Linked DNA regions of Pelodiscus sinensis. The protein of the gene in region 2 purifies or fractionates together with the protein of the main gene of each other region. This does not show direct contact. Links are inferred from orthologs where the notes say so. Each region holds a gene or a part of one and is shown on either strand. Other genes may lie near its edges.

The links. The genes of interacting proteins can lie anywhere in the genome.
Region 1: the proteins of TNRC6C (region 2) and PAN2 purify together in Homo sapiens (affinity purification with western blotting; 3 studies listed by BioGRID and IntAct, with this or other methods). This does not show direct contact. The link is inferred for Pelodiscus sinensis from reciprocal best matches to the Homo sapiens genes TNRC6C and PAN2.

Annotation. Positions count from the first base shown.
Region 1 is NC_134729.1:3,832,310-3,840,344, forward strand, and holds the start of PAN2 (PAN2-PAN3 deadenylation complex catalytic subunit PAN2), read left to right. Parts: upstream 1-4,934; 5' UTR 4,935-5,099; intron 5,100-6,725; 5' UTR 6,726-6,744; coding exon 6,745-7,026; intron 7,027-8,035. UniProt on the Homo sapiens protein: Catalytic subunit of the poly(A)-nuclease (PAN) deadenylation complex, one of two cytoplasmic mRNA deadenylases involved in general and miRNA-mediated mRNA turnover.
Region 2 is NC_134730.1:7,746,157-7,753,347, forward strand, and holds the start of TNRC6C (trinucleotide repeat-containing gene 6C protein), read left to right. Parts: upstream 1-4,151; 5' UTR 4,152-5,134; exon of another isoform or gene 5,135-5,304; 5' UTR 5,305-5,355; intron 5,356-7,191. UniProt on the Homo sapiens protein: Plays a role in RNA-mediated gene silencing by micro-RNAs (miRNAs). Required for miRNA-dependent translational repression of complementary mRNAs by argonaute family proteins.

The sequences.
Region 1 (8,035 bases), on a different chromosome or scaffold from region 2:
GGCTCTCTGCCTGGTACGGCTCCAGACCCCTGGGCTGTGTCTAGACTGGCCAGTTTTTCCGGAAAATCAGCCGCTTTTCCGGAAAAACTAGCCAGCTGTCTACACTGGCCGCTTGAATTTCCGCAAAAGCACTGACGTCCTACTGTAAGAAATCAGTGCTTCTGGCGGAAATACTATGCTGCTCCCGTTCAGGCGAAAGTCCCTTTTGCGCAAAGCTTTTGCGCAAAAGGGCCAGTGTAGACAGCTCAGATTTGTTTTCCGCAAAAAAGCCCCGTTCGCGAAAATGGCCATCGGGGCTTTTTTGCTGAAAAGTGCGTCTAGATTGGCACGGACGCTTTTCTGCAAAAAGTGCTTTTGTGGAAAAGGATCCGTGCCAATCTAGATGCTCTGTTCCGAAAATGCTTTTCACAGAAAACTTTTCCGTTAAAAGCATTTCCGGAAAATCATGCCAGTCTAGACGCAGCCCTGGTGTCTTTGTGTAGTTGGGATGAGCTACTCCGTGGATAGGAAAAAACAAGGCGTCTTGGGGCAGCTAGCTGGGTTAGTCTGTAACTTTAAAAACAACAAGTCGTCCCATGGCACCTTAGAGCACGGCTACTCAACACGCGGCCCTGTTTGTTTGTGGCCCGTGGTGCCGTTTGGAGCTTTTGAACATGGCCTTCACTAGGAACACGCTTCACAATGGCGAGTCAATAGAATGGTCTGTTGTTATGAGTTTTAGTAGTTACATTCCTGGATTGTCATTGCTCATTAAAAGTGCAGTCATATGAGTGGAAATCGGGTAAATATTGCGTTTTGTTAATATCAGCAGAACTGACTTAAATGGGGCCTGTGTGTGGTGTATCTTGCCTTAATCTTTGTATTCATGCCTGTCAGTGTGAAGGAAGCTATTTGTATATATTTGCATATATATTTACATGTATATGCAACTGCACTTAGGCTGTGGCTCTCGGGATGTACTGTGAGTATCATTGTGGTCTAGGGTTGCCAGATGGTGTCAACAAAAATACCGGACACGCTTGACATTACATCACAAGCTACATTCCATCTTATTTAGAAAATACCAGACATTTATATTTTCTCAATTTTTTCCCCAAAAAGAAAGCTCAAATACTGGACTGTCCGGTTCAAAACTGGACACTTGGCAACCCTGATTGAGTAGCCCTGCATTAGAGACTAACAAAAATACACAGTATCATGAGTTTCTTGGGTAAGACTAAAGTTGCCAGGTGCCTGGTTTTGAACCAGACAGTCCGGTATTTGAGGATTCTGTCCAAGAAAAAAAATAAGAAAATACCAGACACATACAATGTCTGGTAGTTTCTAATTCAGTAAGTTTTATGATTATTAGGAGTATCAGTATTATTGTTAGGAGCTCACACTGCGTGAGCGTGTCTACCAACCAGGCAGTACGCAACTATGTGGGGGGGGGGGGGGGGGAGCAGGGTTGGGGGGGAGGGAGGTAATCCTCGGGGCCGGACTCACTTGTGCTTCGCCAGGACCATGTGTGGGACAGGCAGCACCCCGGGATCTATGTGTGCCAGGGTCAGTCCCGCTCCCCGCTGGCCGATTCTCTCCCCCAGCTTGCCCCCCTGGCAAGCCCCGCTCCCCCTGACCCCCTCCCAGCCAGCCGCGCTTCCCATCAGCCAGTGTCCCCCCCCCCCCCCCCAGCCAGCCCTGCTGCTCCTGACCAGCCCTGCTTCCCACTGGCTGGTTCTCCCCACCTCCTGCTGATCTCCCCCTGCCAGCTCCACTCCCCCCAACCCTCTCCCAGCCAGACCTGCTTCCTACCAGCCAGTCTCCCCCCCATCTCTCCCAGCCAGCCCCGCTGCCCCTGCCCCTCCGCTCCCCGATCTCCCCCGGCCAGCCCCGCTGCCGCTGCCCCACCCCCACCAGCCCTGCTGCCCACGAGCTGGTTTCCCCCTCACACACATCCTCCCAGCCAGCCCCGCTCCCCTCCACTCCCAGCTGGTGTCCCGCCCCCCGCATCTGAGATCAAGTGTATCCGGTATTTTTTTTTAAGCCGCCTGGTAACCTGGTAAGACCCACTTCATCAGTTGAATTGGAGTGGCAATAACAGAATCCAAGATCTACATAACAGCAAAAGAAGTACCTGTCAATTGTAGGCCCCGGGTTAATGAAGCTAATTAAGCGGTCTGTGTGGTATGATGAAGGCTTAAAACATAAGCCAATGCAGGACAGGCCTGGCCCGAGGAGCTGAGGCCTAGCTAACAATGGACAAAACATGGCTAACATAAAGCAAAGTTAAACTGTGAGCAAGAGGCAGGCCCCAGCTCACAAAACTTGGCACAAACAGGGCTAAGAGTGCAAAACACTAATTGGTAATAGAACCAAGGGCAGAACAATAATTGGTACTGGTCATAAGTGGAACGCACAGAATATCACTAGCTTGTTAAAAAAGACTGTGGTACCCACTCCTCACAGACACAGACTTAGGTTCAAGAAAGGGTCTAAAATGACAGAATGATGGCTAGAGATGATCTAATAAAACCACGAGGTACAGGGTGATGGGTGGTATCTAAGTAGCATCAGAGGGTGGTAACCTGACAATGTCAGTAGTGAGGTGTGATTTGTTTGTATCTGTATATAAGGTGGTGTCTTGGGGGGACAGCCTTTGTATGACTGGGGGGGAGCAGTGGAAATTTCCCACTGATTGTGTCATGCCATTGTGGCAAGGACATGTGCATAGTGGTTCAGTAGAGTCTACTGACAACTGTTACTGTACTTCGCTCGACAATAAACCTGGCCTGGCACCTTCCATCCTTATCTGGTTTGTGGTGTTTGGGGGCCCTCTTGGGGTCTGCTGTGGTCATTGGGCCCACATCATTGAGCACACACACACAAGCAGTCTTCCGGTTACCATCATCGACAGAGCCAGAGACCTGTGAGGACACCACGGCAGTAAGTCCACCTAACTATAGGCTGGATGTGTCCCATTCATAGCTTTTGATGTGAAAACGAGGATGTCAAGGGCAGGGGAAATTGGCTTTGTAATGTGTTAACCAATTAATAGTGATAGAAATGTAGCCGTGTTAGTCTGGGGTAGCTGAAGCAAAATGCAGGACAATGTAGCACTTTAAAGACTAACAAGATGGTTTATTAGATGATGAGCTTTGATCTGAGGAAGTGGGTCTGGCCCACGAAAGCTCATCATCTAATAAACCATCTTGTTAGTCTTTAAAGTGCTACATTGTCCTGCATTTTGCTTTAACCAATTAATGTCTTTCTTCAAGCCCAGGGTTATAGTGTCAAAGTTGTAGATGAATTCCAGTTCTGTAGTTTCTCTCTGTAATTGGGTGGTGAAATTCCTTTGTAGAAGGATGGCTACTTTATGATTAAGTGGCCAGGTAGGTTACAGTGTTCCCCTAGGTTTATGTGTGTTACCATTTCTGATGTCTGATTTGTGTCCATTTGTCCTTCATCATAGAGCAGGGTGGGGAACCTAAAGCCTGGAAGCCAGATGCAGCCCCTGGCTTGTCTGGATCCGGCCCCTGAGGCTCAGTGCTCCTCTTTTCTTTTGCTGTGCTAGTACATATATATATAGCCCTCCTACCTTTGTGATTTCCATGCCATAGATCTGACAAAGTGGGTTTTTTTTTAACCCACAAAGGCTTATGCCCAAATAAATTGGATAATCTTTAAGGTGTGACAGGACCCCTCCTTGATATCGTAATGAGTTAGAGACTAGGAATGGCTATTCAGACCCATTCTGATGGTGTCAAATTTGCATATAAATTCCAGTTTGGGACATCTTGTTGTTTTTGCTGAAACAGACTAACATGGATACCGCTCTGTGGACAGGGGGCATGATTAGCTAGCTAGATGGATGGATGGGTGTGAAGGGGATACACGGATGGGTATGAAAGGGATAGATAGACGTGTATGGGGATAGACTGATTAGACTGGGGCCCTTCAGAGGATGAGCTATGGGTGAAAACCCATGGGTTGTGTCTACACTGGCATGAATTTCCGGAACTGCTTAAAACAGAATACTATTCCGTTTTCAGTTTTTCTGGAAAAGGAGCGTCTACATTGGCAGGCTGCTTTTCCGGAAAAGCCCTTTTTCCAGAAAAGCGTCTGTGGCCAATGTAGACGCGCTTTTCCGGAAAAGAGCCCCGATCGCCATTTTCGCGATCGGGGCTTTTTTCTGGAAAAGACTACTGGGCTGTCTACACTGGCCCTTTTCCGGAACAGTGTTCCAGAATAAGGACTTATGCCCGAGCAGGAGCAGAATAGTTTTTCCGGAATAGCAGCTGATTTTGTACAGTACAGCATCGTTGCTTTTCCGGAAATTCAAGGGCCAGTGTAGACAGTTCACAGCTTATTCCGGAAAAGCGGCTGATTTTCCGGAATAAGTGGCCCAGTGTAGACACAGCCATGCTGAACGTGAAGGCTGCTTCCTGGCCTGACCACTTTGCTGGGAGGAGAGGTAGAGAGCTGTGGGTGTAAATTGTTAGGGGGGTACAGCTGAGACCCACCAAACTCATGTCACAAATTGCTCCCAGACTGGACGTTGGCATGATGGCCCCATGAGATGCTGCCGTCTAGGCTTGTTTGCTGTGGGTTTCACACCCCCCGAGCCCCCGCCTCGCCATTCAAGGGTGTGTTTGTTGGGGGCGTGTTCTATAGAGATAAACGCCACTGTGCTGCTGCTGGCCCTTTAAAAGGTCCTACGTTCTGATGTCCCTTTGAGAAATTCCGTTGCGGCTGGCCCTTTAAGTCACAGCGGAATCGCTGCCGTAAAGAGAGAGAGACTCGGATCTTTATGTCCCCTCCGACCTCCCGTCTTGTTTTCTCTCCCAAGCTGGGAGACAAGCCACCGCAACCTGTTAGTCCCGCCCCCGTCTCCCTCTGATTGGCCGGAGCTCTGAGCGCGCCCTCTCATTGGTCCCGGTCCCTGCCAGGCGGAGGGAACCCTCAGCCTGAGGAGTGGTTGAGCAGGCGGAGCCAGAGGCGCTGGAAGTTGCCATGGCGGCGACGGGGGGATGGGACGCGGCTCCAGTCGGGGCGGGGGGCGCAGCGGCTGGTGGCGGCCAGTGAAGGAGAGGGCCATTCCCCGCCGCCGCAGAGCATCCTGGGTAAGGTACCCCCGCGCGGAGCCTGGGTAACTTGGCCGCAGCGCAGAGGATTCTGGGTAATGTAACCCCTGAGGAAAGGGATCTGGGTAACTTGGCCACCGAGCGGAGGATTCTGGGTAACGTGCCCCTGCGCAAAGGATTGTGGGTAACTTGGCCACAGAGCGGAGGATTCTGGGTAGCGTGTCATGCGCAAAGGATTGTGGGTAACTTGGCCAAAGAGTGGAGGATTCTGGGTAGCGTGCCATGTGCAAAGGATTGTGGGTAACTTGGCCACAGAGCGGAGGATTCTGGGTAGCGTGCCATGTGCAAAGGATTGTGGGTAACTTGACCACCGAGTGGAGGATTCTGGGTAGCATGCCATGCGCAAAGGATTGTGGGTAACTTGGCAAGAGAGCAGAGGATTCTGGGTAACATGCCTCTGTGCAAAGGATTGTGGGTAACTTGGCATCAGAGCAGAGGATTCTCAGTAACACATCCAAGGGTAGAAGGTTGTGGGTAACTTGGCCACAGAGCGGAGGATTCTGGGTAATATAGCCCTGCGCAAAGAATTGTGGGTAACTTGGCCAAAGAGTGGAGGATTCTGGGTAGCGTGCCATGTGCAAAGGATTGTGGGTAACTTGGCCACAGAGCAGAGGATTCTAGGTAACATGCCCCCAGGAAGAGGTTTGTGGGTAACTTGACTGCATGGTAGAGGTTTCTGGGTCGTGCAGTCCTCAGGCAGAAGGTGGTGGCTAATTTGGCTGCAGAACCAAAGGTTTCTGGGTAAATTAGCAGAGACTTCTGGGTAAGAATCGCTCTTCACCTCCACTTTGCTAACTGAGATTTCAGCATTTCGGTTACAAGACCCTGTCAGTGGTCACAGGCAGAGTTGAGCCCAGTGGATCTATGACTTGTTGAGGAATGGTGGGGGAACTGATGGGTAATGAGCAGAGTGGGGTTGGTTGTCAGCAGGTAGGTGACCATGTTCTAAGGCCTGGGAACTAAATGGACCTTTGCAGAAGGGGCTCGTGTGTGTCTGGAGCAGCATTGCCAGCAGGAATTGCCACCCATCTCTGCTGTCCAGCCGAATCCCACTCCTCCACTGTAATCACTAGGCGGCTCTCAGTTCAGTGCGGTGACTCTTTATTGTTACAGGGTCAGTCAGTGGCTAACGGAAGCCTCTGGTGTCTGTCAAAGAGCCAGTTTCAGTACTGTGCTATTATGGCCCACTGGTACAAAGGGATCTTGGCGATACCCCTGCCATGGACAGCTCCTGTGCCAGGCGAAAACCAACCACTGCACTGTGTCTGCTGCAGCACTGAGTCCAGGGGCCATTGCAATGTAGATTTAGGCCACAGGAGGGAGAGGAAGTGGTGGGGAGGAGTCATGTTTAGGATGGAAGGGTTGAGCTGCTTCTCCTCCATCTCAGGGCAGGGCTAAATACACCTTCCCCTCTGGGCACTTAAAGATAGAAGGGTAAAGAACGTCTCACGAAGGGACTTGTCATGGGTTTTATATTAGAGCTGAGCTAAATACTCAACTATTGCTAGAGACTTCATAGACCTCATCCATCCTAATACCCATAGTGCTGTTTAATTGCTAAGACGTAGGGGCCTTGGTGTTTCTGATTTGCCCATTATTTTCAAGGGAGACGTCCAATTTCATCATGAACTTTGAAGGCCTCGACCCTGGCCTTGCGGAGTACGCGCCCACTCTCCACCCAGCCCTGGATCCAGTCTTGGACCCTCACCTCAACCCCAGCCTGCTGCAGAATGTGGAGCTGGATCCAGAAGGGGTGCCGTTGGAGGGCATCCCGGTGCCGGAGTCAGTGCACATCATGGAAGGCATGTACTCAGAGCTGCACACCGTGGTCTCCGAGGTGGGAGTACCTGTCTCCACCTCGCATTTCGATCTGCACGAAGAGATGCTCTGGGTGGGGAACCACGGGGTAGGTGATATTTGGTGTTCCGTGTGGTTCCTTGGGGATGGGGTGGTTGGGTTTTGAATTCGTCATTTGTCTGCTCTGATTTATTGGGCTGTGAGGTTTTTGTTTCTTCAGTCGCTTACATGTGTCTTGGGTCATTTACTAATGAGGGAAATGACCAAAGGTGCCTTTTGGGGCTTGGGGATAAATGGGAGGATGAGAGACTCAAAAGAGAGGGGCTGACCTCTTTTCCCTTATGTTTGTCAGTGAGTGGATGAACCAGTAAGACAGATCCTTTGGTTATTGGTGTAGAATGTGGGATGTAGGACCAGAAGGCACCTTGTTAAATTCAGTCCCCTGCAATTGCAGGCCACCCCATCTTAAGAATCTTTGTAACAGAATAAACCAATGCTCATGTGGTCTGGAGTCTCTTCCTTCCTGTTGTACCAGAATTCATGTTTGGTCTGTCCTGTCCCATATACCTTTTGTCCTACAATAGGGATGTAATAGTGGAGTCGATTAACCGATTAACCAATACGCAAAAGCTTATTGGCTAATGCTATAGACTACATGCATCTTCCCCACTGTCCGCCAGTAGATTTTTTTAGCAGGCTGGCCAGCAGCCTGGCTTAGTCTTGGCTCACGCCAGGTCCGGCACCTACCCTTGCTACCGTTCTGCATTTAAAGTGTATTAGGAGCCAGACAGGCAGGCAGCCTGGCTCAGTTCCAGCTTGTGCCGGGTCTGGAAGCTCAGCTCCCTCCCGGACAGGGGCTGCTGCTGCCCTGTGTTGCTGCCTCTGTATCAGAGGCAGCAGCATGGGGTGACAGGCAGCTGGCCCACGAGGGGAGTTGGTTTTTAGACTGGCTCTCCTCGCGGACCAGCTCCCACCTGGTACCCCGTGCTGCTGCCTCTGATACAGAGGTAGCAACACGGAGTGACAGGGGTTCCTTAGGGGTTCCTGCCGGCCCCACCCTCAGGCACTATAGAATAGTCGACTAAGGATTCATGAGGTTAATCAGCTATTCAATTAAC
Region 2 (7,191 bases):
GCCATGGCTGTTGCAACTTTTTTCTTTTTCTCTTTTACATCCTGTGCACCCTTCTGCACCCAGCCTTCATCCTAGACCCCACTCATCCTCCACACAAAAGTGCAGCCCTTGACCATTTTCCAAAATCTTAAAGTGGCTCCCTACCAAAAATTATTGCCCACCCTTGGTTTACACAGATTACATCTCACTGCAAATTCAGTCTCATCTATAGGAATGCCTTTATGTTCCAGCACTGAAACATGAGCATCATATGACCCCCATTCTCTTCAAACTGGATCACATCCGTTCTTCCTCATGTGACACAAAGAGAATACTCGAACAGTGGCGGGAAAGGATAAAACAGGGTCTGTCTAAAACATAAGAGCTACATTTCAATAGATGCCTTGGAAATTGATGAAGGCCATTCAGGGTTTGTCACAAAAGATAATACATATTGGTCCTCAATATGAAGGAAATTTATGTCGTGAAAGATAATTCTATGAAGCTTTCTACGAAGCTCAAAACACTTGCCAACCAAAATGAAAACATGCCTGAAAGGTGAAACACTGACAAGTCTACAGACCATATAACATCTTTTTCATCTAGGGCAAAGAAAATACTAGGTAGTTTTAGATAATTAATCTTGGTACATGTTAAACTTCCTTAATTGTGCTCAGCATAGAAATAAAATGCACAGAAATTAAAAAGTATATTGGCTGTCTCTTAGACACAGGCAGCCTGGGAAACATTCAGTACTCCAGGTTGTGACAATTATGATCAGTGAGCCAGAAAATACTTGTTAACACAGTGAGACATACTGAAGAAATGTTTGTTTGGGTGAGATGTTGTGGTGGTGTCCTCCATTTCTGGATGAAAATATACTCTGAACATTTTTGGCTGAGTCATCCTATCATCTTGCTAATGAAGCAGGAATTTAAATATCCTGTGCTTCATTAGCATAAACATGGCTGCTGCTTTTTTTCTAAATGGATTTTAGATCTGTCAAAATAAACCCTTTTTCGAAAGATCCTGTATTTCTCAAAAAATGAGGTTTACAGGATCTTTCGAAAAAGGGTTTATTTTTCAACAGATCCGCTTCTAGTCTGCCATTTTTTCAAAAAAGGTCCATTTAGAAAAAAAGCAGTGGCCATGTTTATGCTAATGAAGCACAGGATATTTAAATCCCTGTTTCATTAGCAATTTCAATGTGCTTGATTTGCATCCCTCTGCCAACAGAGGGATGCAGTCTAGACATAGCCTAAAAGTTGGGCAGTGTAGTTGCTGTTGTCAGTTTTTTTGCTGTCAAAATACTTCTGCCTCCAATGAGCAGTATTTGTTCTCCTGCTGACAATATGCCATTCATCGTGGCACTTGTCATGACAAAACTTTTGTCTTTCAGGCTACGTTTACAGTTTACCTCCGGTATCCCGGAATAGCTATTCTGCGTCTTAAGAGCAAGCCTGTTGTATTGAAATATAACAAGCTCACTATTCCGATGTCTCTGTAAACCTCATTGCATGAGGGTAAAGGAACATTTCAGAATAGCGCTTTATTTCGAGGTAAGGGTGATGTATGGACACACCCTCAGTGGGTTTTTTTTTATACCTCTGAATGATAAAAGTTTGTCTTTCAGTTGTCAGTGTAGACATAGCCTTACTGACCTACCACAGTCCAAACATTGAAAATTTCCTGGAAATAGGAACTGCTTATCCAGTTTTAAAATCAGATGTATTATAACCTTTACCCACATGTGTAAATTGCTTGGAGGGCTCCTTTGTGTGTCAGTTTTATATATCAACTTTCAGATAGATTATGCCAAGTCAATGGGGTTCTTAAACCTGCGAAACACCTCTGCCTGACTTCCAAGAGTGCGCAACCATGATGAGTGGTGGCTGACCCAGGAGAAACCAAAGCAGGGAAAATATTTTTGGATTGAAAAAATCTTTGTATTTAATGATAGAAAACTACAGGTAGTTGAAATAATTGCAAATGCATTTTTATCATAACAAATAGCATCTTTAAAATATGGACATTTTGTGTAAAAATCAAATTTACTTTTCATTATTGGTTCTGTGTAGGGGGTATGTGTATTTTAGATAATCCTTTTTGCATTTATTTTAGCTTGGTCAAGACTGAAGAAAGTACATTTGTTAGTTTCACTTTTGTTTTTAGTCACTGTCTAGTCAAGTTTCAATTTCAGGATCTCATGATCTTTGTCTCTTGCTTTAGTGTTTGTGTTGAAAACAAATGCATGGGAATATTTACTTCTTAAAAAGATACTTTGAATTTTAAAAATCAAGGGAAATACTTATGATCTTAGATTTTACAATAGGCTTTGTAAACTAAGTTTAGGGACAAATTTGACCTAGCAAGTAACCTTTTAATATAGTTAAAACAAATTTTTCAGTAGAGGACAACTCTATATATACAGAAATTAATTTGTGACATGATGTTGTTATTATTATAAACTTTACTTAGATAAAGGTACATGTCTGTTTTGTTTGCACTGTATTGAGGAGTTGTCTTATGTTGAACAAAATCCACTCTGAAAATAACAGCTTGGCAATTTCCTTACTTGCTTTTGATGAGTCGTTGGGGGACAACAGTTTGCAGGTGTTGACCTACATTTGTGTAACTGAAAAGTTAAGGAAAGTGCCTCTGAATTATCTACTCAGCTACACTAGTACAAACTACTTGCCTTTGAAATGTAAATAGCTTAGACCTAGATGTGTAAGAGCAGCAATACTGTAGTCAAGTGTCTGTCAGCATCACATTACTTCAGAAAAAAAATGTGAATTTAAAGTCCTGGTGAAAGGTATAGACTGACATTCCAAATGCAGGGAAATTGTTCTTAATCGTTTTGCTTTCTGGTGCTTATGAAGCAAAATGGTACACATAAATCTAATTTTTATAACATTTTGCATACATATAGATATTGTCCTGGCCTAGAGAACACACTTTGTTCTAACTATAATGATCTGATATTTTATGTTTTATTATTTTTTATCTTTGAAGTTCTGTTTCTGTTGCATTCTGGAAAAATATGGGCTCCCTCCAGTGGCCAAAGTAACACCTGTGCTCTAATTAGTGTTACCCAAAGACAGTTTTTCTGCCTGCTTGTTAAGGTATTGTCTTTGTATTAGAAGTACTAAATTCAGACTCGTTTAAAATTGTATTTTTATTTAAAACAATGTTTTTATTTGACGCATACCAGTAATTTTTTCAACCTATAAGGTCTCATCACTTCAAGCTATTCCTTATTGATTTAAGATAAATTGATATAAGGCACTTAAACCAATTTGATAAGAGTCCTCACTTGAGGGTTGTATTATTTTAACTAAATCAGTTTTAGGTACACATGTTGTGTGTAGTCAAGAAATGTTTTTTATCAAAGGTAGTTTGCTGAATATTGACCTCACTGATTTGCGCCTGCAGGAAGTTAAAGGCAGGAGTGATCAGATTTGTACCCACAATTCAGGTGCAGGTACAATTTATATTCACAAAAAACTTAGAAATCGGTCCTGGCCCTGCAGTACTTTCTCAGTCAAAACTGCAGTTTAACCGATCCGAGTTTTGCCCGAGTAAGACACACTCAGGTCCATCTGCCGTAAAGCAAACATCGAATCAAAATAGGTATTGGCCCTGGTACAGTTTGCGCTGCCACTGGGGGGCTGCGTGGGCAGCCCGGCCACACGTTTTCTATTGACGATTTTCTTTCCAGCCTTGTTCACTGCACTGGTGTTCGGTGTGGATAGCGGTTGGACTCGTGCCAGCTGCACCGGTGCATTTTGCAGGGAGCATCTAGCTGGGCAATTTTCGCTTCGCTTCCAGGCACTGATGTGCAAAGCGTCAGGCTCTGCACGGCGCAGTGGGCTCTGGAAGGAGCGCGCGCGTTAGGTCGGTGCCGCATTCGAAGCCCCCTCCGCGCGGGCGCATCTGGCACGTGCAGTGCGAGAGGTGCCCAGGTGCGCGGGCGAGAGCCGCGAGCCTTCCCGCGCAGAGCGGACTGGCCAAGATGGACGCGCCCGGCCCGTGCGAGAGGCGGGGGAAGACCGGGCCCACTCGCGCGCTAGGAGGAGAGCAACCAGACACTGAGTCGCGGCGCTGATTGGCTCTGCCACCCAATTGATTTGCATGCCGCAGTTTGTCTTCCCCCGTCACGTGATCAGAGGGGGGTAACGCCGAGGCTTCCTGTTTGAGGTCAGAGAGGGGAGGGGGGGGCCTCTCTTTGCTCTCGCGCTGCCTGGTGGGGTTCTTGTCAGTTAGCAACAAAATGGCCGCGGTGGCAGCAGCTCTGCTCCTGAGGACGGCGACGGCGGCGGCTGCAGCTAGGAAGAGCGGGGGGCCGGCGCCGCCTGCCTGCTAGAGAGAACGCGCGCGAGACGCTGCAGCCCAGCTCCTCCGCCGCAGAGAGACACTGCCTGAGAGGCGCTGCAGCAGCCCCTGGGAGACTTTGCTGCCTCCTTCAGCCTCCTGCCCCCCCCGGGGCGCGAGACTCCTGGGAACCCCCTGTGCCCCACTGAGAGTCTCTGCGGCAGAGCCCGCTGGATCGTCCCTCTCCTCGGGATTCTACGTGAGACGCTCTGCTGGCCCCATTGGATCCCCCTGTGAGAGAGACACTGCTGGATCCTCCTGCTTGGAGCACCGCAAGAGAGACTGCTGGATCTCTTTCTCTACCCCCGCCCCCCATTGTAGGACCCCTTGCGAGAGAGACTTCATTGGATCCTCCTCCTCACTGGGTTCCTACTCTTGGATCCCCGGCTGTGGCTCCATTTTTGGAGGGGGGACTCTTTCAGCTCGTTTGTGGGATCCCCCTTTTCCTTTTAATTTGCACTTTTTGAACACTCAGATGCTCCTCCATCTGGACTGAGAATCCATCAACACAAAAAATAAACTCTCCCCATCCGCTTCACATCGTGAATTTCGTGGGTTTTTGTTGTTGCTCGAAAGCAAACGTGTATTTAAAAAAGAATTCGTGTGCAAAAGTCTAGCTAGGGACATTCTTTTCCTTCCTTTCTTTCTCCACTGGAAAGCTAAAGCTTGTTTTGGAATTGAACCTGTTTCTCCTGCACTGGGACTGGATAACACCGAACCTCTGCTCTTCTGCTTGGATACTGTTTTCTTGTCGACTTGTTTTTCTTCTCTTCTGTGGCAGGTTGTGGGGGGAGTTGTTTTTTTGTTTTAGTTGGAGGGGGGAATTGAATTTTTTTTTTCGTATTCAGAGTCGTGAATTTACGGGTATTTTTTTAAGGCGTTAAAATAAGCAAGAAGCACGTCAGAGAGACCTCTACAAGGTAGACGAAATATTCACTTGTTTCATTACAGAGAGACTGAGTCGAAAGCTGCCAAAGAGCCCCTGAAGGAAAAGAAGAAACGGTAAGGGGGTGATTGTTTTATATTGATCTGCAAACAGTAGAAGTGGGAGCTGAAAAATACCTGTTCAGTCATTGCGTTAGTACATGTCACACTTTCCCCTCTGGAGTGGAGGGCAGGATTTTTCAAAAAACAGTTATAGTGTTTTTAAATAGTACTTATATTTTTCTTTTATTATGGGGCCACTGGAACAAATACTGTAAGGTACTTCCACACAAACTATTCTAAGTTATTTTAAGATATATTTTAACACTAAATTATATTTGTTGAAAAATAGACCTTTATAAATAAAAACTTGGTATTTCCATATACTGACTCTTTTTTTTACACATGCCTAATTTTTGTCACCTGTATTACTTTAATTGAAGTCTCATATATAGAAGTTAAACATTTCTAGGTTTACAGGAAGAGCCTTATGAGTTTGCTTTTTAATAATTGATAATGTACCTGTGAGTTGATGTGTGGTGTTTGTACACTAATATAAAATAATTAGCTCTATTATAAAGCGAGGTCACCAGGACTGCTTTTGATCATAACCAGGTCGGTGAAACTTGAACGTCATACTTGATCAGCTTCAGTTAAATGGCAAGAGCTCTTTAGATCCCTGTCTTTTCAATACAATTAAATTATGGTAACCATCATAATTTAGTCTCTGAATACTAGATATGTGAGCTTATTTTTTCATATTTTCATGAAGCCAAATTATTCTTATTAGCTTCAGTAAGAGCATCAGTCAGGAACAAAAACAGTGGTGTTATGGTTGAGTGTTCAGTTGTTTATCCTTGGATATCAAGAGACAGTGGGAATGTATTAAAGGTATTTGAATCCTCTTTGTTTAATTTTGCAAGTTTGTGTGGAAGGGTAATCTCCTCCCTTATTCTGTAATTGCACGTTAGTAGAAGGTCCAGTCATGAGACCCATTGAAATATACAAATGAGAATATGAACTAGTTTATGCCTCATAAAATAATTTAATATAGTTTTGTTGTCTTAAATTATATATTTTTAATTTCAGTATTTAGTTTCTTTAGGAGTGCCATTATCTAGCTAAGTGATACTTTGATGTGGTTCTAGGATTAACTTTATTCTCTGCTTCAATATAGACTTGTTTTTGTTGTCGAAAATATTGCACTGCATATATTCAGTTTATATAATTTCCAACTTTGATTTGTGTTCTTGAAGACAGCATGGCCATTTTTGCTTATAAACAAATTGAGGAAATATTTTTTCCTTGTATCTTAAACTAATTTGATTTTATATTCAGTGGAATCCAGACTGAAACTTAATTTCACCATTGGACTAATTAAGCTAGTTAAAACTCAATAATTGCTGCTAATAGTGGTTTAGTTGGTTCTATATCTTAAAATAAGATGACTATTGGTGTACTAAGAATAATGAACAAGACAGCATCTGTTATTGGATACAGTTATTCAAATGACCGACTTTAAAATCCTTAACATTAAATATTTCCTTGTTATGAGGTCAGTCAGAGATAACCTTTGGTTTTTGGTTGCTGTTGTACATCATACTGGATTGTTTAAGAAATCACTGGGGTGATAAATTTTTTCTGTATCTGTTGCTTTTCTCAGAAATGTGTGAGGGGTGCTAGGTGGGATAGTAATGGATACAACTTGTCATAATTTCTCAAATTCCCAATTTTTTCCCCTTGCCCAATAATTGTGATTTTTAAAATCTAATAAGCCTCCATTTGAACAACCACTTTCATCCATGAATTGTGATTTCAAAATGGTGTGCTGACAAGTATTACTGAAAGTTGCTCATCAAGTAATATTACTTTGTCATCTCCTACCTCTTATAAAATCTTTCCAAAGTTACTCTT